2 linked regions of the Pelodiscus sinensis genome follow. The protein of the gene in region 1 interacts with the protein of each later gene in a pairwise test. Links are inferred from orthologs where the notes say so. Each region holds a gene or a part of one and is shown on either strand. Other genes may lie near its edges.

The links.
Region 2: the proteins of TMCC2 (region 1) and IQUB interact in a two-hybrid assay, tested with the Homo sapiens proteins (2 studies listed by BioGRID and IntAct). The two-hybrid records come from large-scale screens. The link is inferred for Pelodiscus sinensis from reciprocal best matches to the Homo sapiens genes TMCC2 and IQUB.

What each region holds. Positions count from the first base shown.
Region 1 is NC_134737.1:7,326,188-7,341,849, reverse strand, and holds the start of TMCC2 (transmembrane and coiled-coil domains protein 2), read left to right. Parts: upstream 1-7,431; 5' UTR 7,432-7,626; exon of another isoform or gene 7,627-7,814; 5' UTR 7,815-7,988; coding exon 7,989-8,180; intron 8,181-15,662.
Region 2 is NC_134711.1:40,752,154-40,767,587, forward strand, and holds the start of IQUB (IQ motif and ubiquitin-like domain-containing protein), read left to right. Parts: upstream 1-7,356; 5' UTR 7,357-7,734; intron 7,735-7,801; exon of another isoform or gene 7,802-7,948; intron 7,949-8,875; 5' UTR 8,876-8,982; intron 8,983-9,317; 5' UTR 9,318-9,321; coding exon 9,322-10,120; intron 10,121-11,833; coding exon 11,834-11,968; intron 11,969-13,712; coding exon 13,713-13,880; intron 13,881-13,988; coding exon 13,989-14,164; intron 14,165-14,637; coding exon 14,638-14,793; intron 14,794-15,434. Other genes in the region: NDUFA5 (NADH dehydrogenase [ubiquinone] 1 alpha subcomplex subunit 5), read left to right, coding at 5,170-5,271. UniProt on the Homo sapiens protein: Adapter protein that anchors the radial spoke 1 (RS1) complex to the A microtubule of outer doublet microtubules in axonemes. The triple radial spokes (RS1, RS2 and RS3) are required to modulate beating of the sperm flagellum.

The sequences.
Region 1 (15,662 bases):
CCATCTGAAAAAACCCCTCCTTTATGCCTTTTCCACATTTTCTTGATCTCCTTCCATGCCCTATGGCCCTTATGATCTCTGCTGAGCTGAAATAAGTGATTTATACACAAATTTTCCATAGCATGACATTCAATTTTTATGTGTGAGAATGTGGTTCCCTTTTGATATATCATTTCCTGCTTGATAAAATGCTATTTACATCCGCCCTCCTCCCTCCTCTCAACCTTTCAGTCATAAGATCAACTTAAGATATACTTTTCAACTGCCACCATCCCTTCCCTCTCCCTGGTTCCTTTTCTTTCCCAGCATATGGAGCTGAATAGTTGGCAAGGTCCATGAGCAGCATTTTGGAAGGTTGTCTCCCAGAAAGGCCTCTGTTGGTGGACCTGCTAAATGGGCTTATGGTTGAATAGAAAGATTAATTTGCTGTACTAGGTTGGTGCTGTACTAAGGTCATGCCTAAGACAGAGAGCGAGAGACTGATCAAACTAAGGGTACATCTATACTGCGTCACTATTTCAGAACACTGGAAGTATCCTGAAATAGCAACACCCCATCTTTAAAAGCACCTGCTATTTCCCAAAATAGCAGGCACGCTATTCCAGCGCCCCTGTAACTCTCATTCCATGAGGGTTAAGGGATTTGTCAGAATAGTGCCTTATTTTGAAATTTGGTGCTGTCTACACAGCGCCAAATTTCAAAATAAGCTCTTTCAACCAAGACTCGGAATAAGCTATGCAATTTGCATAGCCCAAATTGTGTATCTTATTCTGACCAAAGGGTGCTGTTTAGACATACCCTAACTTGTAGATTTTTTTCTGAGGACAGAATGGTGGGAAATATCTTGCAGGTAATTATTGACTTTTCTTTTGAAATCAAATGCATTTTGCTGCATTGTGGTTGAGAGAAATAAAGGCAGCAGATTCTATCTGCACATCACCCTGATATATAGAAGGCAGCATTTCAATCACATCTATCTATTCCATGCTCATCCCTGGTATCTGAGCTGCTGAAGCCCCAACACCCCTAGCAAATGCCTAGCAGTTGTTTGAGTGCGGTGATTCCTTTCTGAGACTGCAGAAATTGACAGCCTTATCTCCATGGCTCCACCAAGCAAGAATCCCACTGCAACTCCACACACCAAAGACAAATACCATACATCAGGTATTTGTGATCAGATACATGTCAATCTGTATGTTTGATTTGATCTGTGATCTCTCACACACAACGAAGAGTGCTTGATGCCTCTCAGCAGATGAGAGTAGAGAAAAAATATTAAGCCCCCATTGTAAAGGGCATGTCTTGATTCTTCTTGATTTATGACGGGCCAGACAGAGCTAATTGGCATACATCCCACAGATGTTGTTTCCAATCAAATGTAAAATGTGTTTAATGAATAGCAACTTTCGCTTCTCACAATCCCATGTTTATTTTTAAAAGATAGACCTAGATGCTAGGATTTTGATTAAAACAATAGAACGTTGTTTGGAGATGAACATTGTTTATGGAGGCTGGATAGTTCTCCCCCAGGACAGAGTGATGGCATGAGGTCTGTCTCCCACCTACGTGCCATTTAAGTCATATTTTGAGGATTCAGGTGGCACTTAAGCAGTATATATGCTTTTTGCTGGCCTTCTGCACAGGGAACTTCACCAATATATTGTCTTTTCAGTGTTTAATCTGGATTATGCAGCCATAGGACAAGAAGCAATGGGCTTAAATTGCAACAAGGGAGGTTTAGGTTGGACATTAGGAAAAATTTCCCAGTTGTCAGGGTGGTTAAACACTGGAATAAATTGCATAGGGAGACTGTGCAATCTCCATCACTAGCAATATTTAAGAGCAGGCTAGATAAACATCTATCAGGGATGATCTAGATCAGGGCTACTCAATACGCATGTAGCCCATGGCCCGTTTGTGTGCAGCCCATGGTGTGGTTTGGGTTTACGCGTGTTATGCTTAAATGAAGCACACAAGATCTTTTATGGGGGAAAAGGCAGTGCACTGCATTTATTGAGAATGCAACAGTTGCATATGCTTTTCAATCATTCACACACAAACACCATACACACACACAGTCCTGCCAGACAATGTTATAGTTACCAGTCCAGAGTCTGGATCAATCTAGTGGCCAGCCAGACTGATCACAGAGGGGGAGCTGGACTCTGTCTGTCAATCATAGAATAATAGGACTGGAAGGGACCTCGAGAGGTCATCGAGTCCAGCCCCCCGCCCTCAAGGCAGGAATGCTCCTGGAGTTAGTGGCAAGACGAACCCAAAGTTCCATAGCAAAGCACCCTGCTTTTATAATCCTCTTTACCTGTTGAAGTCTATGGATTTCACTGTGTCAGTCTGTGACCAGTTACTGTTATCTTGTCGATGTTAATCATTCCCAAAACATCTCCAAAAGGCTCATCCTGTCCTGGATGTTAATCAGTTGTTTTTAGGGATGTCTTTACGTTTAGAGTCGTCAATCTGCCAATCTGATCAATTCTTGACCAGGGGTACGCACTGATGGTTTCTCTGATGCCAATATGTCTCTTCGCAGTCTGTCTTTTACAGTTTGTCTTCACCCCACATTCTCCCCCTTCTCTCTTGACCATCTTGCTCTAACAATGACCTTCACACCATATCTCATTCATACAATCAGTCTTTCACAGAGTACAAACAGCAAAGTTTTATATTGAACAAAAGCAAACAGCATTGTAAATAGCCTTACTAAATTTTGTAATTAAAATAATTCACACTGAAGGATCGGGCCTTCAACACTCCTCTAATCTCATTGACATAGACACAATATGAGATCTTGTCTCTCTACTTACTAAACTTTAAAATATATATATATATTACTAAAGGGCTTAGTTTAATAAAATATTAAATGTGATACTATGTTACCTTACATTGCTACATTATTAATCCTAAAATACAAATATAAAACGAATAAAACTTTCAGTTCCAACATACGGAACTCAACATGCAGCCCACAGGTGGGATCCTTTGAACATGGCCTTCACAGGGAACACGCTTCACAACGGCGAGGCATCTCCCATGTGGGGTGAGCACTGAAAGACGCAAGCGGACGGGCTGGCTGGAACAGACGGGTGCAGGGTGTCGGCATTTCTATCCCCCAAGGAGGAGGTGCTGGGAGCACCAGGGCATTGTGGGACGTGTTGGCTGCTTAGCCTTGTGGGCAGAGCCTGAGAGGTGCTGACTGACTCACACTGGCCACGTTTGGGTCCGGCGCCACAGCTTAAGGCTTAATCTCTGTATTCATTCCCGTCAGTGGGAAAGAAGCAATTTGCATTTATATTTGCCTATATATGCAACCATACTTAAGTTGCAGCCCTTGGCATGTGCTGTGAGTATCATTGTGGCCTCGGGGGCTTCCAAAATTGAGTAGCCCTGATCTAGATGGTGCTTGGTCCTGCTGTGTGGGGAGGGGACTGGACTTGAAGATCTCTCAAGGTCCCTTCTATGGTTTTATGATAGGGCCTGATTGAGAGAGGTGGAATGAGGGACCATGGAGGCTGCAAGTCATCAGCACCTCTCAAGATCAGAGATATAGTGTGATCGTGTTGTGTTGTTTAGTGGTTACAGCAGGGAATAAAGGTTTGTGGGTTCTGGTCTTGGTGGTGGCATGACATCACTGCCCACAAATCACTCCCCTGCTCTGTACCTTAGTTAAGTTACCTGTAAAATGGACATAAGTTAAAGAATATGTGGCCCACAGATGGTGGGAAGCCCATCTGGTTAGTGTTTGTGAACTTATTCCAGATCTTCAAATGAAGGGTGCTGTCAGGGAACAACATACTATATTTTTGCTTCAATTGATCCCTTAAAATTAAAGAGTACTATCCTGTGTTTGTGACTTTGTCAACCAAAGCTTAGTCCCACTCTTGAGAGATTAGCCTGGGCACCTACAAATCTATTCTTTACCCACATTGATAAAAGGATACCTTTATCCATTAAGGTTTTGTGCTTGACAAAGAACAACACAGGCATGCTAAACTCTTAGCCCTCATACAGATGAACTAATATGCTTATGGAGCTATATCAGGACAGAGTAAAAATAACTCTTTGCAGAAATAGTCCGAGCAATAAGACCACCTACTGGATCACATCTGCTCGGTACTGAAATAACATGCATCAGTCAGAAACGGAAGATAAGAAAAATGCTGCAGACAAGATGAGAAGCTTTCATACCCAAAACAATCCATTTTCACCTGAGCCTTTCCTTCTTGATGAAACAGGACAGGTGTGAGCTACCAAAATCATTTTGTTTCATTAGAGTAAATAGAATTACCTGTAAGGATTAAAATAAAATGTCATTATAGGGCCATGCTCTGAAGCTTTTAATTATTTTTTTAGCCATTTAAATCATTTTTAGACATTGTACAGGAGTTTTGATTGAATAAAGAGTGAGCAACATATGATTTAGAACTTCAGGATTTGGACCGTTGATTGTAACATCTTCATTTATACATTGATATATTAAATCAATACTACTACTGAATATTATCATTGCTAATACCAAATAGCTCCTTTCATCTAAAGATCTATAAATAATTTACAAACACTAAGCCTTCTCCTGCTTTAGCTTTGAAATGCAAAAAACCTGATGCCGACCTTTACTGAAAGAGGCAAGCCCACCCCAACCGCAAGACAACTCTGCAACTCCTCCTCTTCCCTCCAGCTTCCACAGCCACTTATGGTAACTAGAGAGATCACACATGGGCTGTGTCTAGACTGGCAAGTTTTTCCGCAAAATCAGCTGCTTTTGCGCAAAAACTTGCCAGCTCTCTACACTGGCCACTTGAATTTGTGCAAGAGCACTGACGTTCTAATGTAAGAATTCAGTGCTTCTTGCACAAATACTTTGACGCTCCCACTCAGGGATAAGCTCTCTTGCACAAGCATACTTGTGCAAGAGGGCCAGTGTGGACAGGCACCTTAATTTTTTGCGCAAGAAATCCCGATGGCTAAAATGGCCATCGGAACTTTCTTGTGCAAAAGCGCATCTAGATTGGGCCCAGATGCTTTTGCACAAAAGCACTTTTTCGCAAAAGCATCCATGCCAATCTAGACGCTCTTTTGCAGAAATACTTTTAACGGAAAAAATTTTCCATACTGATAAAATTGAACAACATAATTTTCTTATTTAAACTGCTGAAATGGGAACACTGCAGCATCTTTGGCAGAACACAGACACATTTAACATTAGATATCCTAAAGTTTCAGAGTGATAGCCGTGTCAGTCTGTAGCTGAAAAAAACTTAAAAAATAATGCATAGTCTTGCAGCACCTTAGACACTAACAAAAAATGTAGATGGTGTCATCAGCTTTAGAAGTGGGTCGTACCATCCACAAAAAATGAGGAGTACAGGATTTGTGTCAAAAATGCCCCATCTAAACTGCCTTTTTTTTCAAAAAGAACCATTTCGAAAAAAAAGCGGCTGCCACCATTATGCAAATGAAGCGTGGGATATTTAAATCCCCACTTCATTTGCACTTTCGATATGTCTAATTTACATCCCTCTGCCAAGAGAGGGGTGTAGTTTAGACACGGCCTTGACTGGCTCCGACCAATGATGCATCTCATACCTGTCTCTCGCAGTGGTCAATGCCACCTATTTCAGAGAAAAATGTAAGAACCCTGCAATTAGCAGAAGTGGGGTGCACTTTCCCCCATATAGGTCTCATGCTGCTGCTCCTTCATAGGTAGAAATTGGCTTAAATCCAGAATCATTCATGAGACAGTGTTAAATATGGATATACTTATACTAGCTGGTAACTCATCAGATTGTATGCATGTTTGATGCTATTCTGTCTTCTTCTATCACTCTCCTGGTCACCTCTTCACTCATCCAGCCTTTCTCCCAGTTCCCACAGCTCTTGAGCCGCATGAGGCTCTTTGCTCATAGAAATACAGCTCTTATCGGGGTTACCATACATCCAGTTTTTTCTAGATATGTCCTTTTATTCCCATGTTAAATTGCCATCTGGCTGGCTTTTTTAAAACACAAAAAAGTCTGGGATTTGAGAAGGGAGCACCTGCCTTCGAGGGAACGTTCGACTGTCTTTCAGAGCCACGTGCCTGGACAGTTCATGGCTGCTCTGCGCACACGCCCCAGTGCCTGGAGGGAAAAGCGTGTGGCTGCGGCGAGGCTCCAATGAGACCCAGGGTGTTAATAAAAGAATAAAAGAATCTGGGCTGCCTGGCTCTGGGGGAGGAGTGGGTGCATTAGATTAGAGTGAGGGCAGAGCCATTTTAGAAAGTTTTATTTTATTTTTTTAATGGCCTCCCTCTCTGCAGGGGTAGAAAAAGGGGGAACCAGAGGAGCCTTGGTCATTCCCAGAGAAGTTCACTTCACCTGTGAGATGCCAGCAGGCCATAGGCAAGGGCTGGGGAGGAGAATCCTTTATTCCAAACAAACTTTGAAGAAAAGCCAATCCCTTCTGGAGGTGAAGATGGCTCTCTCAGAAAACACAAGGTGAAAAACTGCAAGTTTGCATGGTTTGGGTACAAAAAAAGGGCATTTTGTTCCAACTGAGACAGAAATGGAATTTGGTATTTTTCAGGGTCTACATAAAAGGGCACAAGAAATTCAATGCGAGAAACAGTAAGAATTTCATGCAACCTGAGTGCTAATTGTCTTACTGATTTTTCTTCTGTCCATGCAAGAAAGGAATGCGTTTGGCAAGCTCTGACTGAGATTATTAATGGTCTGTCTGTGTGTGTGTGCGTGCGCGTGCAGATGCGTGTACCTTAAAGGGATGAAAGAAAAATCTCTTTGGGGGGCAATTAAGTTTAGGAAGTTGGAAAAGAAAAGAAAAGAAAAGAAAAGAAAAGAAAAGAAAAGAAAGAAAGAAAGAAAGAAAGAAAGAAAGAAAGAAAGAAAGAAAGAAAGAAAGAAAGAAAGAAAGAAAGAAAGAAAGAAAGAAAGAAAGAAAGAAAGAAAGAAAGAAAGAAAGAAAAGAGGTAGGGAAATGAAAGGAAGACAGATAGAAAAAGGGGAGAAGCCCTGGCCAGCGATCAGAGAACATCATGCAAGTAGGAGGAGTTTCCATGGCAATGAAGAGGTGACTATTCCACTCCCCAGTGCATCTGTCTAGCATCCTCCCCTTGCAGAAGTGGGGCAAGGTGGGCTCCTGTCTAGGGTCCAGGTGCGGGGACCTTGCAGTGGCCTCCCTCCCGGCTCTGCAGCACCCTGCCAGCTGCTGCCTGCAGTGCAAAGCCGCAGCCCGGTGCAGCACCATTCCCACTGACAGCTCCTGGGAACCGGGCTGGGAGAGGCGGGCAGCTGCCGGCCAACCGAGCCTGAAAGCGGCTCGGCGTCACGCCCCCTCCAGGCTCCCCACTCCATCGGCTAGCTCCGATTGGGCCGCGGCGGCTGTCACTCAGGCTCCCCCGCCGGCGGGGCGGATGGGTTAGGCTGAGCAGCAGCCGCGGCGGCCGCATCCTTGCGGTGGGCAGCGAATCCGGGGCAGTGGGGGACAAGCGGCAGCAGATGTCCAGGCGGCGGAGGGGGGAGGGGGGGCGGCGGGGAAGCGATGCCCCCCAGGCCCGAGGAGCTGCAGCCATGCAAGGCTCCAGCATTTTGCATCACTCCCTGTTTCTCCTGAGCAGTGAGTACCAGCGTTGGGGGGAGGGGGGAGATGATTAATTGCATGAAAGGGGCCCCCTCCCGAAGCGCAGATGCAATCACTGCAGCTCAAACAGAGGGGAAAGTTGGGGGGGGATAAGGGAATGACCTTCCCTTCCTCCCCTCTCCCCCTGCAATGAGTTTGTTTGGATAAAGGATTCTCCTCCCCAGCCTTTGCCTGTGGCCTGCCTGCATCTCACAGGTGAAGTGAACTTCTCTGGGCACTGACCAAGGCTCCTCTGGTTCCGCCTGTCCTGCTTTTTCCTTGTTTTCCCCTTTCCATTCCTCTGCCATTCCTCCAAGAAGTGGAAGTGCAGCTCCGACCGCCCACCCCAGCTCGTCAGCATGAAGAGGTGCAAATCGGATGAGCTGCAGCAGCCTGAGGAGGACTGCGCTGGGGCTGAAGATGCTCCCAACCTGGCTGCCATGGATGCCAAACCCGGGGATTGTGCTTCCGCTCTGCCCGATTCGGGCGCCGCTGCTCACCCAAACCCTGCTCCCCATCCTGTTCCCCGGAGCAAGCCTCCCGATTTAAAGGTAAGCCTCCCAAGCCACCGCCTCTGCAGGTATTGCAAAGGGACTTGGGTTTTTCCTGCATGCTGCTGGAACACAAGTTCCATCCAGAGATTCATATGTGGTTTATTATTTGCATGAGAACTTGACTTTCTAGTTGAGGAGTAGTGATGATTGACACATAGCAGTATTTTCTTTTAGGGTTCCCCCATTGTACTCCTCTACCCCTGCTGTGTACAAATAGGTATGTTATGTGTTTTTAAGCCTATTCACCAAAATATTTTATTTAAAAAATCGTAGCTTGTGGATGCTACAGAGGTATTGAAAGGGCTGTGGTTTATGGGACATGAAGAGCAAAGGGACACTAGTTGTGAGTTTGTAAATTGATGTTAGTCTTTTCTTTAAGAGAATCAGTGCTGAAGAATAGTCATTCATACCCCAGCTTCTGATCCAGTTTACACTTTCTTGATTTAATCTGGATTATACTAATGTCACTGAGATCAGAATCTGGTGATCTCAGCTAAAAAAGGTCTGAAACCATGCCTGCGGCGGGCCTTTCTTGAAGGATGAGGGACTGTGGCAGGGCCCATGTTCTGCAGAGGAACTCAGCAGATCATGTTAAATAAAACCCAGGGCAGCAGGTGTGAAGGAGCTAAACTAGAGAACACCCACACCTTGTCTGCTTTAATTCAAGTGCAGCTGCAGTCAGAAAAGTATGTAAAAATGCCCCCTTCTCACTCCCAGCGCTGCCTTCTGTGGGTCACACCTACATACTGGCAACAATATGTTTTTACTAGCACTGCAGAACTGGTACAGCTCTGGGAGAACAAGCTGGGTTCTGTTTTGCCTTGCACATCACCATCAGAGCTACTGGCTAATCAGTTCCTATTGGTCACCGACATCAGTGCAAGAGGAAGAAAGGGCACTGCAGGAGGTCCCCCTTTGGAGCAATGCTGCTCCGGAATCATTGGAAAAGAGGGATACACGGGAAATCTGACTTGCTTTATTTTCGCAGAGGCAAGTTTTCTGACTGTGACTTCTCTTCAAATTCTGCAGGCACTGCAGTGCATTTCACTAGATCTAAAACATGTTCTCACCCCGACTTGATAAAATAGTGCACCCCTTATTCTAATAACACTGACCCTAGAGTGATTTTTTTTATCAGTTTCAATGTGTTGTACAGGAGGTATGTGTAATTAGCTGCAGGCAGGGAAACTGAGGCAGAATACCAGGGCCTCGGGTTGTGTAAGCCATATTTCATTGGCTCCAGAAAAGCTGCAGGGATTATACCTGCTGATGATCTGGCCCAGAGAGGTTAAACACCTTGCCCAAGTTCACACAGTGGTGGATGGTACCTAAGTGTCATGACTTTTAGTCCAGTGCTTCATCTCTATTTGCCAGTGTCGCCAGTTACCCCAAGGCAGATGTGAATCAAAAATGTCCATTAGGCTGTGTAATGTCATTAGGCAGGTGCCTCTCTTCCTCTTGGAGTTGTGGAGCTCTCGGCTTCTCTGTCATTGGCTCTTTCCAGTTGCTGTTGTGCTTTCGGATTGAATGCACCTGTCACTGCTGCTCTATGAACAGCAATAAAAGAGCTGCTAAGAGTTATGCATAAGACAGATGACCAGAGCCCCCGGTGGTATGCTTACCCCACGTGCTTCCAAAGTGGCTTTTGCTGGCCGACTCCTTCAATGGACACTTGGCCTTCTGCTTGCATGGCCATTCGAGCAGCTCCATGCATGCCTGATCCAACTGCTCAGCTGTTCAGACTGGCCTGCAGTGAATTGGATGGGGGCAGAAAAAGGTGAGGAGGCACGGAAACGTAGGAGAAGGGACCAGGGAAACAGAGCACAGGCTGAAGTGGGTGGCAGGACCCTTCCAAAGAGAGCAAGGGGGAAAAGCAGGCAGGAGAGGGAAAGATGGAGAATAGTTACGGGAGGCAAGAGCAGCTGAGAGCGGAGATCAAGAGACACACACACCAGGGCAAGCGAGCCCATGTCATCCCCAGCTAGTGCATCTCATCCTGAACTGGAGCAGCCACTTACCAGGACTGGGTGGGGAGTCCAGTCTCAATGGCTTATTTAGTCCTGGCCTCCTGTACTGAGACTGCAAGCTACGGTGCTAATTATGGTGGCTTTGTCCTGTGGACAACTGTGCACTGAGACTCCTAGGCCCTCCACCAAATAACTTCATAGCAGAATAATTTTTGGTCACCAGTGACCTATGCTGGACGTGTACCGGTAACCTGGAAAAAAAAGGCTCCCTTCTGTTCTCTCCAGTCTCCTTACTTCTCCAGCCCCTTCTCTGCAAACGCGTGGTGGTTTCCTCTTGTACAAGTATTAATCCAGTTCTTTTGGTATGAGCAAGCTTCCCATGACCAAAAAAAAAAAAAAGAAAGAAAGAAAGAAAAACACTTAAGAATCCTGGCAAGAAGCAGAGCAGATGTGTGACACATAATTCTGCTTAAAAATATGTTGGGTGGTAGATATTTCTGAGCTCTGCATCAACATGCCGCAAAAGAAGGCATTCACATCTTCTCTGGAAGAGATGGTAGGCTGGGTGTCCTGTGGGGAAGAGATCATAAAGGCATTTTGCCCCTTAGATCTCATTTCTGTCTTCCCCAGGCAGCTGTGATCTGTGCAGATTCTCTCTGGTTTTTTTCCATAATTGCCTGAGTTTGATGGCCACAGGAACCAGGGTCTGAATGTTGAAACCTGTCATGGTTTTGATCTAAAATCATCTCTGTCGTCATGGTCCCCGCCTCTCCCCTTGTGTTTGACCTTGGAAGTGAAGAGCAGCTGGGAATCTGAAGGCTCCACTTGAGTTCCACTCCTCTCCCCAGGCCTGATCCCAAGCCCGTGGAAAACCTCCCCTTGCCTTCACGGAGCCCTAGCATAGCCCACTTGTGTGCTGCTCCGGGGTGTCAAGGAAGTGGAAAGCAGCCAGGTCCTCTCTGCACATTCCCACCCTGCTGCAGGAGCATTCCTAACAGGTGCACAGCCAGTGTAGACAACTCCTTTGTCGCGCCCCCTCCTAGGGCAATGGGAGTGGCCAGCTTACACTGCACCATGACGGTCTCCTGGAGGCCTGAGCCTGTTGGCATAGATTAGAGCAGTCCCTGGGCAGGGCATAGCTGAGGCTCTGGGCTTGGAGCTGTCAGTGCCTAGCTGGGGATCCCAGACTTTAGCACTTACCTCCCCCACCTTGGTCAGTGTATGGCCATCAGGGCATGGTGCTTTTCACCCAGACTTTTCTTGACAGGGTGATGGACTTTGTGAGCAAGATTTAACAGGCAGGGTCCCATTCTGTGTGGGCTGGGCTGGGCTTTAGCCTTGTTAACTTGGCATGAGTTTGTAGCAACAGGGTTGAAAAACTGAATAATTCGTCTTCCTAGGGCAAAGCCGTTGCTCCTGCTCTAGGGTTACACCCCTTGCAAACACAGCCTGATCTAAAAAAGCCCATTGTAGTCAATGGAAAAAGACATAATTGGGGATTGGATCAGGTCCGTGAAGCCACACCCTACAAACTAAACTCACTTTGAACCTAGACTTCACTGGAGAAAAAACTCTCATTGGGGCCAAACCCTGAACTTTTGACTCCACTTTTACTCTTGCTCTTTTATTCCTTATTCAGGTAGGTCTGTTTTTGGGGTACAAAGGGACCCATTAAGAGTCCCTCTCTTTCCCAACTTTCTAGATTGCCCTCCTAGGCCAGGTCTACACTAGGAAACTGTTTCAAAATAACTACATTGGACTTAACTCCCGATTTTACGAAATCAAAATAGCATGTCCCCACTATGGAGAAAGCCTCGAAATGAGTCTGAGGCAGGCTCCATTAATGTGGATGTGCTGCCTCCACTTAGAGCCCCAGGAGGCACTGGGGAGTAATTAGTTCGAATGACTCTGGGGAATCATTATTTCGAAATAGCAGCATCAGAGCAGCCACATTAACACTATTTCAAAATTAGCGTTATTCCCCAAGAAAAGCAGGAGTAGAGATTTTGAAATAACGGGCGTGGTCGTGTGGACGCTCCTCTTGTAAATTAGACCTAAGGGGGTTATTTCAAAATAAAGCCCTAGTGTACATCAGGGTCTAGAGAACCTTTCAAGACCCCTTCTTGCAGCTTCGGCCAGAGAATGTCCATGCTCCTGACCCAGGAGTTGCCCGCAGGGGAAGCTAAGACATTCCGCCCCCCCCAAAAAAAGACATTATCCCTAGATATACTAGAATTCACTTCCTTGTCCCAGCCATTTATGTGAATTTTTTGGTTTCAAAGGACACCGTGAAGGTGGGTTATGTCCCTATGGTTAGATGGCCCTGAACAGAAGTGCCCCAGTCACTGGAAAGTCCAAATTTACCAAATTCATCTTGGCTCCAGGCATGGATCCCACCAATTCCCTTTGCCTCACTCATGCGCACACCAAGCGCTACATGGGGGACTGTGCTACCTGCCTCCAGCTAATGTAAACCACCATTTCAGAAGTGTGGGGGTGTGAGTAGGTGCTCAAACAATTGCTCAAAGGCAAGAACTCCAAGCAGTTAATTAATACCACCACAACATTCTTCGGTATCATGTCTCATGGGGAATAGGTTAACAGGTTTGGCGCACATGTTCATTGCACAAGTCTGGAACATCGAGGTTCTGGATTCAGTTGTGAATTGCATCACACGTGACGTGAGTTTGGGTGGTCTCAGCCTGATGCCAAAGAACCTTGCACTGCATGGCTATGGGCTCTGCAGAGGGAAGCTGTATTTCCTTTCCCTAGTCCGGGTGGTGATGCAGTGACTGAATAGCCATTGGAGGAAGCTTGCACAGTGCTTCTCCATATCAGCCTCTCACTGCCGTGAGCATTAACGTTTCCGTGCCTTCATTGTGAAAGGCCTCTTGCTAGCAAAATTCATCTACCTGCCTCATCTTGGAGGAAGCCCCAGGTTAACTGAACCTTCCATGGGACCTCAGATCTCTTGGGCAACTTGCCCTTGTTCCTTCATGTTCTCTTTTCGTGCACCCTGCCTCACACAAGAGGAAATTCACCCCCATGCAGCGAGTGGTCACAAAAACCAACGTGCCACTAGAATCCCACTTGAGCCTCCCAGAGAGGGCACCGGAGTCTGGGGCATAAGTTTTGGCCTGCACAGTGGAGAATTTCACCCACATGGTCAGGTTTAGAACCATGAATCTCTCTTACCCATTATGCTCCCTGCTGCCACCTGCTTTGAATATCCATTGCAGGGACTCATCTTTGTCCATTAATAACATTCCATTGAAGCCACCAGTGTTCTAAATGGGTCTAGTACATCCAATACTACAGAGATTTCATTCAGCCACACAGCAAGAGCAATTGACCTGCTTGAGCCTAGAACAATGCAAATACAGGTACATTCAGCCTAAAACATACCTGCAACATTCATCAGCATCCAAGCAGTTACACCCTACAGAGAGGAAAAGTTTGATTCTGAATGTCTTTGGAGTCGGTTCAGAAAACAAATAGGAGAGGGTGAAATGCTTGGGGGCTGAGAGAAATTGCACTCCTTATGATACAGCTCTAGCTGTTTTAGGTTACGTCTACACTGTGCAGTTATTTCAGAATGAACTATTCCGGAATAGTTATTCTGAAATAACTTACAGGTGGTCCTCGAGGTACGAACACATCGACTTACGACCGTTCGTACTTACGACAAACCTCCCATTAAGTGCATTACAGCCGCTCCCCGAGTTACGAACGAGTGATCCACACTTATGAACAGCGCGGCCACATTTAAATGAATGGGGTCCGACTTACGAACAGATCGAGTTACAACCAAATGTTTGGTATGTAACTCGTTCTTAATTTGGGGACTATCTGTATTTTGAAATAGCATGTCTACACTGCAGGGAAGCTTCCCTAATGTAGACGTGCAATCCAATTTAGAGCCCTACGAGGAATAACTTAGAATGGCCCTGGTGAGGTGCTATTTCGAAATAGCAGAAGTGGAGCATCTACACACGCCTTATTTCGAAATAGCTATTTTGTAATAGGCGTTATTCTTCACAGAATGAGGTTTATAGAAGTCAGAATAAGCCATCCATTATTTCGAAATCACGGAATGGCTGTGTAGATGCTCACATAGTTATTTCGGAATAACCGTCATTATTCCAAAATAACTTTGCTGGGTAGGACACACCCTTAATGAGCAGGGGAAAAGAACATGGGCAAAGTTTCAATTGCTTTGTAGCCCTTCTTCAAATTTAACTTCAAGTCTGGAGTTTGAGCAGGGTCACAGCATTATTGAAAAATAATTACAGATGCCAAAGAGTCTGTGTTATATAGATTTTTATACTGCACTCATCACAGGCACATCTAAGCTCCTTCCAGTAATGCAATTGAGCAGTGTGTGTTACATCTATCACGTGTCTATTCTCTCAGCCTCACCTCCAGGGAAGAAGTGGGCAGAGAGGGGTATCATGTTTAAAATATATGCATATATACCTATTGGTCTGATTGATTATTTAAGTCACAGCCATGGTTTTATTTTCCGTATGAATGTAGTGCTGGTGATAGGCAGCAGCCGTATCTAGTTACACTTCCGTATGGAAAAATTTCCCATAGGTCCAGTTGTTTTTTTGGAATTGATCAGTGGTTCTCCTGGGGTTAACCCCTCCTCCAGCTGAAACATGTAGGAAGCCAATAGGAATCAATTGAGCAACCAGCAAAAGCTGAAGAGACCATTTGAAGGGCTTAATGGGGGGCTGCCTGAATTTCCACTAGAGCCACTAGCTATTCCTACACTGGCCTGGCTCCTGCCCTCTCAGGGTTAGAGATGAGTTAATTGTCCATGCACATGTAAGCTAAGACGGACTTAAAAACTAAGTTCTCTATTTGGGATGCTATTTACCCCTGGGAGAGCACCAGAGCCTACACTGCAGCTGAGTCCCAATTAGGGCAGGAAAACAGCATGGCTGAGGGAATCACTTGTAGACATGGTAGACGGGAGGTTAGGGTTGTACTCTTTTCTCCTCCCCGTGCCTCACTTTCCCTTCACAAGCGGTGTCTTTTTCAGTTTAGTTCTTTGGGAAAAGAAATATCTCCCCCTATACGTGCCTAGTGCTAGCACTTTGGGGCCCCAGCCCTGATTGAAGCCTCTAGGTTACGGGCACGTCATCTGGAGATCGACATTTTGACATTCGATGTAGGGGGTCAAGTATAGATCCATAAATCGAACGCTGAGGGCAGCTCCGGCTGGCACCTGTACTCCTCACAGTTGCAAGGAGTAAGGGAAGCCAATGGAAGTGTTAAGTGTAGATCTGGCCTTACACTTAAACTGCCTTTAATACAGCTGTCTTTGATCCGGGAAGATCTGTGGTTTGGATCCCCCCACCAGATGGCCCTTCTGTGCCCCCACCCCTAGTGCACTCCAGCACTTCCCTCCTAGACTCCACCTCCCTTCCACCCCAATAATAGTTTAAATACAGTGCATTAAGGATTTATCCTGTGCTGTGTTATACATGTACAGTACTGTAAAATG
Region 2 (15,434 bases), on another chromosome or scaffold:
AATAAGAGCCTCCGGAAAAGGGCACTTTTTCCGGAGGATCGGGGCCAGTCTAGACGCTCTTTTCCGGCTTTTTTAAAAGCCGGAAAAAAGCGGCGGACATTTTTATTTAAATGCCGCGGGGGATATTTAAATCCCCCGCGGATTTCCCTACGACGACTGCTGAAATTTACATGCCCCTTCCGGAAGAGGGGCCAGTGTAGACGTAGCCTCAATGTTTAATTTTCGCACCTTTTTTGGGTAAAGGGCCACCGACCAACAGAAAATTTAGTTGTGAAGAACACACCAATGAGAAAGAAAAAAACAACCCACTGGCCTGGACCTAAACTGAGAAGCAGGGTTACCAGGGCTCTGCTTGCACTCCAGACTTGGAGGAGAGGTGCTGAGGCTGACTTGCTGCAGGACTGGAATGTCAGCACTAGCTCACCCTGTTGCAGCTTGAAGTCCTGAGATCTGCCAAGGACAAGGCTGTATTAACTCTTGGGGCCTGGAGATTTTATGGCCCTTCCCCACCTCCCAGGCTCCAGAGTAGGGCCAAAAATGAGGGGTTCAATGTATGGGAGGGGGCTGCATGTTGAGGCAGGTGTTGGTGAGGTCTCCACTTGGGCTATGGGGTAGAGCTTGGAATGAGTTGCTTGGGGTTCAGGAGTGGGCTCCAGGCTGGGGCCAAAGAGTGGGCTCAAGGCAGAAGGTTGGGGATTGGGATGTGAGACTGGAGAGAGGGTTGGGGTGCAGGGCACTTACCTGGAGCAGCTGCTCCTATTTTCGGGGGGGGGGGGGGGGCCTGCAGTTCCCATTGGCCGGGAATCATGGACAATGGGAGCTGAGGGGCAGCACCTGCAGGCAAGTGCAGCTCAGGGGACAGCTTCTATTGGCGCTCATGGCAATGCAGCTCCAATCTGGGGAGGCAGAGGAATGGCAGCGTATGGGGCTGCCTTCCCCCTCCAGAAAGGGCTTGCCTGGAACATAAGGGCTGTGACTACATTGGCGTGATCTTGTGCCAAAGTGGTCGCTTTTGCGTAAAAACATGCTGCCTGTCTACACTGGCGAGGAATTCTTGCACAAGAACACTGACATTCTAATGTGTGAAATAGTTCTTGCGCAAGACGCACTATGATGCTTCCGCTCAGGAATAAGCCCTCTTGCGCAACTGTACTTGTGCAAGAAAGCCCTATGACTAAAATGGCCATCGGAGCTTTCTTGCTCAGGAGAGCGTCTACACTGGCATGGATGTTCTTGTGCAAAAGCACATCTCTTGCGCAAAGGCACATGCCAGTGTAGATGCTCTCTTCTGGAAGACTTTTTGCACAAGAACTCTTCCGCAAAAGAGTTCTTGTGCAAAATCATGCCAGTGTAGATGTAGCCAAGGGCTTTAGTGGCTACAGCCCAGGGCCCTGAGCCAAGAGGGGTCCCAATCACTTGCTTAGCTGAACAATGTTAGTGCTCATGTACTCCTGTTGAGACCAGAGAGGAAAAGCGTGGTGCTTGAACAACTTTTCCTGCTTGTTATGTTCTTAGACTGCATGAGCATGATCGGAGAGGGAGGAAAGACTGGTGGGTGGGTAGTTTAAGAAGAGCTGTCAGTCATTCTTGTTTTTCAGTTAGGAAGCACATTCCCAGTGTGGTTGGGAGTATGGGTCTTTGCTGACTCCCTCTTATGCAGAGGTGGGCAAGAGGCAGTTAGTGGGCCAGATCCTGCCTGCAGCCTCCTCACCAGAATCCTTACTACACAGCAGTTCATGCTGCTTTAAACAGCTAGCTGCAAATTGCTCTAAATGCTGGGAGGGATGGGGTTGCTTCACGTGCTGTCTCTGCCTCCTAGCAAAATCTTTCAGGTCCCATTTGCCAGTTTCCAGAAGGAAGCCGCCTTCTTCCCTCACTCCCCCTTCCCTGTCGTGGAACAGAGCCACATGGAGCAGCTAGTCCAGCAGCCAGGCATGGAGCCATTATCAGATTCCTGCAGGGCTGCTGGATGGGAGCTGCCTAGGTAAGTGCCTCCTAGCCAGAGCCTGCCTCTGACACCCCACCTCTTCACCCCCCCAACTTTCTGTCCCAGGTCACAACCCAAACTATCTGCACCTCCTTTCCCCAGGTAACAACTCCCTCCCAGACTTTGTACTTTCTCCTATACCCCTCCCCTAAGACAGAATCCTCCCCTGCCCAAGATCATAACCTCCTCCTTCACTCAAACTTCTTTTCAGATACCACATCCCCAATGCACCCCTGCTCTCTTCTATACCCCATCTGCTGTCTCAGACCCAGCACCCCTGCCACAGAAGTGTGGCTCTTGATGATTTACCAAAATCTTAATCCCATTAATCCCCCGATTTTAATAATTATTGCCCACCCCTGCTCTTATGGGTGCCAGCCAGAGATAGGATAGGTTACAGAGCATCCCTTGGAGCCTGGAATTTCTTTGAATTATTTTCTTACATATGTGGGTTGAGTCGCCCTTGTGGTTACATGGAGCTAAGACATTTCTGCCCTTGGAATGTTCTTGAACTCCTTTTAGGCAATCTGATTCATAGTTTGGGAACCAGTATGTTGTAATATCACTTGGAGTGGGCGTTGACTAATCTGAGCTAGGGTTGGCAGGATTTGTAACGAATGTTTGTAGTGAATGATCTCATTTGTGTTATATGGAGTTATATAACATGATTCTACAATTTCTTTTAATTGTAAATCAAGTCTTAATTCTGCACCTGATTAATCTTCTTTCTGCAAATGGATAGTAAGCTCTTTATGGCAAAAGCACTCTTTGTGTAGCAGTTATCTTGGAGCCCTCTAGCAATTACTGCAATACAAATAGGAATTTACATTTTATGCTTGCTGTGATGGATTTCATCTCGTGTGTGTGTGTGTGTGTGTGTGTGTGTGTGTGTGTGTGTGTGTGTGTGTGTGTGTGTGTGCGCGCGCGCGCTCTCGTTCCACTCAATCTGCCTGCTTGTCCTCTAGGGCGCCCCACTACCCTGTCATGCTGGGCCAGAAGCTCTTATCTCCCCTAGCCAAAGCACAAAGCTGCAGTAACAACCGCTTAGGAGAGCTGAACAAATTCCATTCTGAGAGGGCTCAGCTATAAGACTGGTGATCCAGGAACACAGCCCTGAATAAATCCATCTTACTCTTTATAAAAGTTTTCCACAGCTCATGAGATCAGCCCTGTTTATTAATGAAGGGAAGATCTGCATGGTGGTTACCTCTGTCAGGTAACAATTACTTATATTGAGCTTGATAATATTTTATTCAGTATAAAAAGGTAGATTGTAAGTGACTGAAGGTGACAACAGGCACACCAAAATAAACAAAACATGCCAGCTAATACACTAAGAAAATTGTTACATTCAAATTCTTACCCTAACAGTTCTAATATTTTTCACAAACTAGACAGCCTCCTAACTTGAGCCAAGTCCTTCCAATTGTTCAGTCTTAGATGTTTCCAGCAGCATCTTGGATGGTAAGAAGGGGATTCCTGGTCTACGTCTACACTGCAGAGTTTTTACGCAAAAGCTCATGGAGCGTCCACACTACAAGGCTACGTCTAGACTGGCATGATTTTGCAGAACTACTTTTAACAGAAAAGTTTTTCCGTTAAAAGTATTTCCGCAAAAGAGCGTCTAGATTGGCACAGAGGCTTTTGCGCAAAGGCATCCGTGCCAATCTAGATGCGCTTTTGCTCAAGAAAGCTCCGATGGCCATGTTAGCCATCGGGCTTTCTTGCGCAAAAAATTAAGGTGCCTGTCTACACTGGCCCTCTTGCGCAAGTATTCTTGCGCAAGAGGGCTTATCCCTGAGCGGGAGCATGAAAGTATTTGCGCAAGAAGCACTGATTTTGTACATTACAAAGTCAGTGTTCTTGTGCAAGTTCAAGCAGCCAGTGTAGACAGCTGGCAAGTTTTTGCGCAAAAGTAACCGCTTTTGCGCAACATCTTGCCAGTCTAGACTCACCCTAAGTGTGTTTTTGCACAAGAGTTATTTCTCTTTCTATGAGGAATAAGTCTTTTTGCACAAGAGCTCTTGCACAAACAGCAATGTGTGGATGGACAACGGGTTTCTTGCGCAAGAAACCCCTATCAGAAAAAGCACAGGTGCTCTGCTATTCACAGAATGGCCAATCAGAGCTTTCTTGTGCAAGAGAGTTCATGACAGTGTGGATGCTTTCTTGCGCAAAAGCACATCTCTTGCGCAAAAGCACATGGCCGTGTGGATGCGCTCTTGCACAAGAAATCTTCTGCAAAAAGTTCTTGCACAAGAAGCCTGCAGTGTAGATGTAGCTTTGGTGTCTGGCCATTTGGTTTCTTGCTTTTAAAATCCCTTTTTCCCAAGGTGGAAATTCTTTGTGTGCAGTTCAAACTTTTCTCACCTTGAATGGGAAAGTACAAGACCCAAAATGGGTTCCAGCATTAGGTGACTGGGGCACATATCTTTGTAGGACCAACTGTAGCTTGAGCTTACAGGAAAAACAAACCCATTTAGTGTCTTGAGTACTGGGCCTTTGTCTCCAGAGTATTACCCTGGCCCTCACTAGCACATCTAGAATTATAAACAGATTCACACTTCATATTTCTAACTTTACATAAGAATGATACATGCACAAAATATACACATTATGTTGCAACTTTTAAAATGTCACGTGATGCATTTTGCCTAAAGTATCTTAAGCCAGTTTTCATAACACATGGAGAGATTGTGACACTTGCATTTAAAACAAGTTGAATTGCTGCTATTCTGGTTTTAGTCAGTTTTTTCCTCACTCATGTTCAACTAATCAAATTATTAATCTGCAAATTAAAGCTAGAAAATAAGAGGTTATGTCCCAACTAAGGAACTCTTGTAAGAATGTATTGCTCATGACATAATTGTAGCTATAGGTTAAGTAGAGATGCAAATTTCCACAATTTCTAAATATACCTGCAGTGCTGTTTCACATACTCCTGTAAATTTGAACTCTTACCATGATTAGAGTGGGCTTCATGTCTGAAGTCAGTGAGAATAAAATGTATGGCTTTGCATTGTGATCTGTAGCCCAATGACTAAATTGCTTGTAAATCACTCTAGATGGAACTTTGGCATCTGAATGCTTTTGAAATTCATAAGCAGTGTTCTCCAATTATAGATTAGTCAGTATCTCAAAATACAAAATATTTTAATTATATTTTATGTTTTCATCAACAGGCTGAAAGTGAGCTCTCTCTAGCAAGAAAAATGGCCCAATGGAAGCCATGGGAACCATTAGTTGAAGAACCTCCTACTGACCAATGGCGATGGCCAGTGTAATAGTTTTATGTCTAACTATTTGAGAACTGAAAAAAAACCCTTAATTATTGATATCATGTTAATAAAAATGTCTTTAAAGAAAATGGCTTATGTGTATAATTTATTTTGCTTCAATAGCTATTTAAATGTAGCAGGATGTAAAAGTCCAGTCTGACTTTCTTGGGCTTTACTAAAACTTTGTTTAGCTGTTACTCTGATTTTTTTTCCCTAGCTTGCTGATTTAATTAACAATATATTAAGTAGAAACTTTCTTCTTATTCTTTTCTGATTCATCTAATTTTCACATACCACTTCTTGACACTTAATTACCATGGCTGTCATTTCACATCTCAGACTGTGGTTTAACCAAAAAGAGGAAGGGGAGAACTACATTTTACACACAGTTGATGAGCCACAGTGAGATAAATACAGATGAAACTGTGTGTTTGATACTTTTGACTAAAAATGGCACATTTGCAAAGCCATTCTGGGGGAGAAAAAGCTAAGAATGACGTCTGCAAACAAAACTATATACAGGCAGTCCCTGACTTACGCGGATCCGACTTATGTCGGATCCGCACTTACGAACGGGGCTTTTCTCGCCCCAGAGCTCACGGGCGGCGGGTCGCCACCCATGTCTTCCGGGGCAAGAAAAGCTTCTCCCGGTCTCCCTGGTCTGCTGGGGGGGTCCAGCAAAGCCGCTGGACCCCCCCCCCCCCAGCAGACCAGGGACACCTGAGCAAAGCCGCCACCTGGGCGGCTTGGCTCGTTTGCTCAGGAGCAAAGCTGCCCAGGCGGCGGGACACCCGCCGCCTGGGCAGCTTTGCTCCTGTCCCCCTGGGGGGGGGGGGGGGTCCAGCAAAGCCGCTGGACCTCCCCCAGCAGACCAGGGAGACAGGAGCAAAGCCACAGGGGCGGTGGGGTTCCTCCGCCTGTGCAGCTTTGCTCGGGTCTCCCTGGTGTGCTGGGGGGGATGGAGGCGCAGCTAGTGCGCCCCCCCCAGCAGAGCAGGCTTTTGTTGCAGGATGCCTTGGGTAGAGCAGCTGGGGTGCTGCCGGGTTGGTCCTGTAGGAACCTACCGGGCAGTGCCCCAGCTGTTCTGTCCCAGGCTCCAGATTCAGCAGCTGTTGAAACTGATCAGGCTGATTCCAGGAAGCTGGGGGCAGAGCAATTCTGCCTCTGGCTTCCTGTAGTCAGCCCCTGGTCAGTTTCAGTGGCAGCAGCTGAATCTGGAGCCAGTTCTGACTTACATACAAATTCAACTTAAGAACAAACCTATAGTTCCTATCTTGTACGTAATCTGGGGACTGCCTGTAACTATTGGAGACAAAGTACTGAAGTGCCAGTACTGTTCCACACATTTAAATTTACTTTGATAGTGTGCTGGTAATTTTTAAGGACCTTAAGAATCAGGATTATACTAGATAGAGCATACAAACGCATCTGTAAGTCAAATGCAAATAACTTACTTTTCAAATTTTAACAGTCCTTTACCTAAGCCAAGACTTAAAACTAAGATCCCAAACTACACAACTTGGAGTAAGCTATTTGGAACTTATTTCATGTTAATTATATATTCTAAGGTGGTTTACTTCTTGGGGGAGGGGATAACAAGCCCAAAGAGTCAGTGATAGAGGAATTTTCAGTATGACTTTGGACATGGAAAAATCTGTGAACAGCACACATGGCTCTGTGTTGTGTGCATTCAGCATGCACCTCATTTAATGTGCCCTTGTTTCCCATGCATGTCATGGTAGTAATACTGGTAGGAAAAATATTTGGTTGGAAATAAGCAGAATCTGAAACTAAAATGGTATTGTAGTGGTTTATAATGAATATGGAATAATTCAAGTGTTAATTTAAAAGACTTCATAAATTAATAGATCATAAGTCACATAATGCCCACTAGTCTATCTTTACAGAGTAACTTGCATACTGTAGTCAAGATAAACATAATTCTTACGATATTGTTAGTGACAAGTCCCTTAGGGTTCAGTTCTGCTTCGCCTGTAAAAAGTAAAGCACTGCTAGGTATAATGCAACCACTACCTTATGGCATCTGAGCACTGGGTATAACTGCACTCACCGGTATTTCTGGCTCACTTCGATAATGTACTTAATGAGCATCACAATGATGACGACCGATGAACGGTCGCATTTTCAAAAACGTGCACGCACAATGCCGTTACCATGGGGTTTGCACCCACAAGTCAGGTGGGCGCTTGCATCTGTGTGTTCTGCAACGGTGCCGCTAGAATCTAAGCTGCCTAACTAATCACAAACACGCTCTCAGCGCCCCCGGCTCACGCTTCAGTGCGGTGGTGACCAGAATTTAGAGAGAGTCTCGCTGGAGGGCGCGCCAGGGTTTTTGTTTTTGACAGGCCGTTGGTCTCCCCCTTGCGCTAGGGAACAGATGCGTAAGCTGCGGAGAGGCTAGAGCAGAGCCTGGACTACAGCGCCGCGGAGCCCTTGTCTCAAACGCAGGTCACTACGGCTCTGCTCTGTTCTCAAGCCTTCGGGCCAACATTGGCCCATAACGCGCATGCTCCTACTCTCAGCCCCCTCCCTACCCTGATCTCGCGAGAATGTGTAAAAGTTCGAGGTTGCCATGGCTGCAACCACAACGCGCTGGCGTTCGAGACTGAGAGGGGGCAGAGGCGTCTTGCCCGGGAAGCGGCGCTGACGCCTTGGGGCTGAGGTAAAGGGGGCTCGAGCAGGAGTATAAGCCGGTCCCGCATGAAGGAATTACAAGGCGCCGGCTGGCTCAAAGTCACCTCGGGAAACGCTGCGTCTCCCAGCATGCACAGCGCCGCTACCGCTGTAGGGTTAAGGAGGCGGGGCGGGGGGGCGCCTCGAATGCCAGGAGTGGGAGTCTGACGGCTGCATCTATAGAATGGGCTCGGTGGGCTGTGGTGCATTCTGGGTGTTGTAGTCCCGTTGGTGCATTTTGGGGTCCTTACCAAGCCGCAGTCCCAGTCCCCGGATAAAACCACGTTAGGGGTTTAGTGGGACAGTCTCCAAAGGGACAGCCTCCCCATGTTGCTGCTCGCCCAAACCCTACCTGCCCTCCTCCGTCCTCCCCGTGTGTGAGTCTGGAGCTGGTATTGCTGCTTGCTTGAGTCTTGCCTGCCCCTCACCAGAGCTCGCTCTCTCCCACTCCCAAGCAGGGGGCTGGCATCACCACGTGCACCCCACACATTCTTTCACACATGACTTTTTTGACAAAAGTAGGTAGTTGTCCCATTTGCTCTTGACAACTTGATTAGTTGGCAAAAACAAAAAGGACAAATTCCAGTTTTTGCCAAAAAAAATGTCTGAAAGGCCAGAGCAGTGCTTAATGAAGGGACTGTTGTGGCCAAAAAAGGATATAATGTCACCCTGTGCATTGACATCTTTCATGAGCTTGGTATAGTGACTGCCCATAAAGGTATCACAATACTGTATCAAAATGTCATCAGGTTCCTCAGAGGGAACTCGAGACATCCCTACAGATCCACTGAAGTTGATAGTGAGACTAGAACACTGATAGTTGAAAAGTCACTCTGAGATCCTTCAATGTATCTCAGATAATTTTCCTGTGTTGTGTACATGACAGATACAAAGAAACAATGTTCTTTTGCCTTAGGCACCTCAGCAAGGTCTCACTGATTGGATACTCTTCAAAAGGACAACAATGTGATGATTCCAGTGTGCATTAGTTCCATTGCTTCTGTTACCATAATATCCGACCAGGTAATTATAAGAGGCTCTGCTCTCTAATGGAATTTTCTCAGTGAAGTCTTAATTGTATCAGGGGAAAATTTTACCAAATAATGGCTAGGCTATTGTGTCCCATGGTTAGTGAAAACAGTTGGAAGGACTTGAGGCCACTGTTGCAAGGATTAATAATACTTTACTTTTTGAACCAAAGATCCAAGCCACCATTAAATAGGCAGTATTGTGACTGACACGGCAAAGTATGTTTGGTGATGTAAATGTTGGGGATAGGTATCACTATGAAATTTTAAAATAAAAAACTGTGAATTATTCAAGCAGGAAACTTAAAAATATATAATCTTAAATTTCAGGAAAATGGCTGATCCAAAGGAGGTGGTTGATAGCCACAGTGAAGCAGATAAAACTGAAGTATCAGACACTGAAAAGCAAATGATAGATCTCACACACAGAAAGCCACCAGAAGAAGATGATACAGAGACCGATCACATTAGCACTGCAGAGACATCGGTTCTTCTGAAAGCAAGGACAGATATATCACAGTCAAATGAGGATGGACTACAGAAGGAGCAGGAACCAGCTCCAGAGACTTGTGGGGAGGAACCGGAGCAGGAACCCACTTCAGAGGCTCATGAGCAGGAACCAGGTCTTGAGCAACTAGAGCAGCCAAAGGTAGAAGGGCAGGAACAAGGTCTTGAGGAAGAAGAGCAGGCAAGGGTGGAAGGGCAAGAACCAGGTCTTGAGGTACAAGAGCAGGCAAAGCTAGAAGGGCAGGAACCAGGTCTTGAGGTACAAGAGCAGGCAAAGCTAGAAGGGCAGGAACCAAGTCTTGAAGAACAAGAGCAAGCAAAGGTAGGAGGGCAGGAACTGGGTCTTGAGGAACAAGAGCAGGCAAGCATAGAAGGGCAGGAACCAGGCCTTGAAGAGGTTAATGATCTTGCTGTGAGCAATAAAGAATTGCTTGAAAAAAGTGAACAAGGTGCAGCTGAGCCAACTGCTCCATTAACTAAAGTGACTGAAGAAATTTCTCAAATTACTACAGAAACATTTGTTAAGTTGTTAGCAGCTGAAATGTACAACTTAGGTAGGAGGCAACTGGATGATTTGGAATCTGAGAGGTCCTTACCAGAAGCAACAACAAATGCTACAGCAACAGGTATAAAATTTGCTTCACATAAAAATTGGTTGTTACTGCCATATTTTTACAAATGCTGTGTTATATTTATTCACAACCTACCAATGGTTTCTTGGCTTTTGCTCATTACCTGATTGAGGCAACATGGACTCCATCCAATATTTGATATTTTTGAGGTAAAAATAAACTTTAAACCATATTGCATTAGTAAAAATTGTGTTACACCATATCTACCTGCTGAAACACCAGATAGATCAAAGTGATATTTTATTCCTAACCTGGTAGCAAAAAGTGTTTTATATATCAATCCCTGTTTCTCTGTTGAGAATTTTCTCTTTATTGAGAACTACAAAATAAACTGTCATTATTGGCATGCCAGGTCACACAGCACTGCTGCTATTGATATGTTTTACATTCTGATTTGTTTTCATTTTGTAATTTTGGTGTAAATTGTTTTAAATGTAACATTTATAATATAAATTTTATTTCTTATATCTAGATATATGTACACACTATTATGCACATCTACTATATATTTAAGAGAGTTTGTTGTGTGTCACTCTGTGTGAGTGTCTGTCTGTTTGTTCAAGAATGCCTAAACAGTAAGAGCTATGACCACAAATTCAGTATACAGCTTCCTCTTATTATAACTTAAAGCCAGATAATGGTTTGGTTGTGCCATGACAATGGGATGTAAATGTAATGGGATTGCTTCTCATAAACCATGTAGAAAAGATCCAGAATCATCAGTCAGGTGAAAGGAACTGTCTGGGGGAGCGGAGGGGATGCACTCCAGGACTGCTCTAACTTTAAGCCTCTCCCCAGCATCCTTTACAGAGGGCAGGGGATACTGAAGCTCCTCCCTCCCCCAATTTGTATGAGAACATTGCTGACTTTTCCTCTTTGTCAGGGAATGAGGGGGAAAATGCACAGTTTGCTGCATTCCTCACTCTGGCTGGGGAGCACAGGGGACAGATAAACCTGAACCTGCCCTAGCCAGTGGACATGCATCCCTCCCCTGACTGTGCCAACTGGACCTGCAGCAGCCATAGAGATATACTTCTCACCAGGCCCCAAGGTGCTGTGATGGAAGAGGGCTTGGGTAGTCCCTCTCTCCAGGGCAGCCTGCGTATTGAACTTTTCATCCCCAACCCCACCCCAGAGCAATGATCTAAATGAAGCATGTACATTTTCTTTTTATTTTTAAAAAAAAAACACCAAAATTAATTGAGGTAAGGACACGAGCAGTGCTGGGTAAATCATCTCGTGAAGCATATTTGGAAGAGGGGAAAAGTACCTTATGAATATTGGAAGAGCTGAAATTCAGTTCTTCAATCTAAATCAGTTTCTCAAAGTGATCCACAAGACCTCTTTGAGAAAACAGTTAAATGGCTGCTGCAGTGTGTTTACTTACTGACATCATGGCCATAGAGTCTCGTGGCTCCTATTGGCTCCATTTCACTGTTTGCAGCTGAGGGGAACTACAGGAAGCGGTGTGGACCAGGTCACTGGTTCCTGCAGCTCCTCCTGGCTGCAAATGGTGAAACGGAGCCAATAGGAGCCACGAGGCTCTGTGGCCGTGGTGCCAGTAGGTAAACATACCTGAGCAGCCAGTTAAAAGGTTTCTCAAAGTGGTTTCATGGACAACTGTGAGAAACACTGGTCTAAATAAAAGGATTTATCATCCATTCAATTTATATAACAGGAATTGGTATCTCTGTTTATTTTCCTCAGTTAAAATCATGTTGGTTCCTGATATCCAGATGATCACAATGGCTTTTAACATTAACCAGTCCGTAGGGAAGCTGAAGCAATACTTTGCATCACAGCTAAAAGTACCACAGGATGTCTTACAGGTCGTGTTTCAAGGTACGGAGCAAAGATTTAGTAAAAACCTTTCTTTGTTTTTCAGCCCTATTAAAAATCATAAATGATTAGGCCCTGATCCTGAAATTGGATTGTCAGAGGCAGGCTTTGGGGAAGGTCCACAAGAATAAAGGAGTCTGTTCATGTGGATCCAATGGCAGGATCATGACCTTACTTTGTACTTTTTGTAAGAATATATTTCTGGCATATATTATATAGTAAATTGAATAGACCTGGTGTCAATCACTAAACAGGTCTATTGAATAAAATTTGCATTTGTACATCAACTACTTCCAGAAGAACCATACTTCAAATATTTTAGTTGGTGAACCAAACACAATCTTAATATTTTTCAAATACTGAAACTATATTTTTATTATTATACACCAAAGATTTTCCTCTAACATTTCATTAAAATATCATGTCTGGGCTGACCCCAAATTTCAGAGTTACAGATACTTTTTTTCTTCTTTAGAAAATGTTACAACAAATGAAATCTTAGAGTGTATCTGATTTAATAGCAGAGAGCACATATACTCAGCAGGGCTAACGTCAAAATAAGCTACAGATCTTGAACTATGTCAATTGTGTAGCTTAAGTTGAAATAGTGCCAAAAGCCAAAATAAGCTATCTACACAGCAGGAAGTCTGAGAGAGAGCACTCTTCCTCTGACTTCTCTTGCTCCTTCTGAAATGAGAGTTACAGGACTCAGAGTAAGAATTTCTCCAGCTCAACATTGCTTTTACATTATGTTGAATAATTATTTGTAGTGTAGATGCGAACTATGTTATTTTGGAATAACGTAAGTTATTCCGAAATAACACTTGTGTAAACGTACCCAGAGAGCTAGGTAGGACTGGAAAAGAAATAGTTGGTGTTTTGTGGTTAAGGGCACTAGAAAATGAGTAAGATCCAAGAGGTAGAGGCTGCTCTGGAAAATTACTAATTTTAATATTTTTTCCTTTGTGGCAATGACACAGAGTAGGCGCTTTTCCTGGCATCTATTTCTCAAAACTTGTTGCTTGAGTCAGTTTTCTCTTTTTTCTTTTCCTGGAGGAACTGCAGGATAGACCAGAGATGACCAAAAAGTGACACAGAGTGGCTCCGTGCTGGGAGACAATGGAATTGGCAGGCTAGGCTTTTCAAACCTGTTAAAGTTATATTGGGATACTTTATCAAAACCAACTGAGACCTAGCATACCCAGGACTCAACTCCATGTATTTTAGTACTATCTTTCCATTAAGCAAGATGTATTTGAAATATTGCATTAAAATTAAAGACAGTTTGTATCAATCTGAGTTAGTGTTTAAACCACAGGTCTGCATCAGATTATGCATTTCAGCTTTCTGGCCATTTTGTTTATTGTGCACCCACATCAAGTTTGAAAATAGAAATATTACATTTACTAATACACTAAATCTTCAATGAGGACAAAAAAGTAACTAATGTAAAAGCTAGAATTTTAAAGAGCTATTTAACAAATAAGGTAAGTAGATACTTTAATTTCTGTGCCTTTTTTCTTGAAAGTGAATATGATTTTTTTTCTCTTTGTATGATTGTGACAGAGCTACCTAGAATATCTTTTGGGCAGAAGTAACACAGACTTTCCTAAATTGAGATTAAACTGACTCAACACTCATGTTTCGCTAAAATAATCTGTAGTTTTGATTTCTTCCGAGGAAAATGCTTGACAGTATCCTCTTTTATTAGAGAAGAATGCCTTACTTTGTTTGTTTTGTTTTAAAGGGAGGCTGATTGAGGATGGTGAAACTCTAATGCATATTGGAGTTAGGCCTCATGGAACTATCCAGATTGAAATGTTTTCTCTTGATCCAGAACAGTACCCAATCAAAACAATTAAACTGCAGCAAGACTACAACATGCCTGATGTCATAACTGTGAGAGTGCAAACAGGTCAACAATATTTTTCAAATATGCATTAATATTAATATTTGTGCCATATTGTAATCAGATTACTTACAGAATAGTATATAATTGTATTTAATTATTATATCTGAACAGATTCTGACACATTCCAGGATGTAGCAGTAGAGATCGAAAGGCCTACTTATCGTAAGCCATTTCTGGGTGGATTTAAACATAGGGTAACAGGCGTGGAATTTCATAATGCAGGATCACAAACAGTACCCAAAAAACGACGTGACAAAGGAATTGAAGTATTTTGCAGGGAGACACAGGTAATTTTTTAATGGTCTTTCATTTAGAACATTTTTTGCTAAACAAAATAGAATATTGACATGGTTGTCAGAAATTAAGCTGACTGGAGAAATAATTGAGCACAAATAAGTACAAGGAGTCCTGTGGCCCCTTATAGACTAACAGATGTATTAGAGCATAAGCTTTCGTGGGCAAAGACCCACTTCATGACATACATCTGATGAAGTGGGTCTTTGCCCACGAAAGCTTGTGCTCCAATACATCTGTTAGTATATAAGGTGCCACAGGACTCCTTGTTGCTTTTGCAGATCCAGACTAACATGGCTACCCCTCTGATACATAAATAAGTAGTCAGACTTAAAAACAAATAGTTAATAAAATGAATTTGCATGATTTTAAGTAACTGTATTTCATTCATTTTAATTTGAAAAAATACTAAAATCCGCAGCATAGGTTATGTCATATTTTAACATGAATTACGTTTTTATTCCAGACCGTTGTGGAGAAGAATAAACGCCAACAGACTATAAATACAACCTCCACACAGATGACTAAAATTGGCCTCTATGTGTCAAACATGACTGACAAGTTAAGAAGACCAAGAACATATCTTACTGCAGAAGAATATCATAAACGTAGACTAGATGCAGTAAGTTCTTCTCCATATATCTATAAAATGGCATATTAAAGAGATGATTGGATAAGTGTTCAAAGAATGTGTTTAAAGATGAATGGCAAAAATCCTGTTAATTTTTAAACTTTGTTTTTATGATTGTTAGTGAGATAAAGGAAAAGCATGTATCTGCTAATTTACAGTGTTATCAGTGTTGTATTTTAACAACATTGAGATAATAATTACTTACTGCACATCTTGAGAAATGTGATCAGTGGACTTTGTGGATTCTTTCTCAGAATGAGTGACTCCCTGATTGCTGTGTATGGAAGTTTGTCTAAACATGTTTTCATTTCCTCAGCTTTCTCATAAAGTTTTGTTAGGCATATTGTATGCATAAATGTGTGGCTACATAAGTTGATCCATGGCAGCACCATGATATTTAAATATGCCATTCATCTTTAAACTTGGTGCACTGGACTGAAATTTTGGAGATCTGGGTTTAGTTCCTGGGTCTGTTACTGAGTGACCTTGGACATGTGACTTCCCTGTTCTGAGCTTCCGTTTCTCCACTGATCTCTTTTTTTGTGAAGTGCTTTAGAATATACTGATGAAAAGTGTTATATAAGATCTATACAATATTATGATTTTGGTTAATGAGAGTAGTGAACATCTTG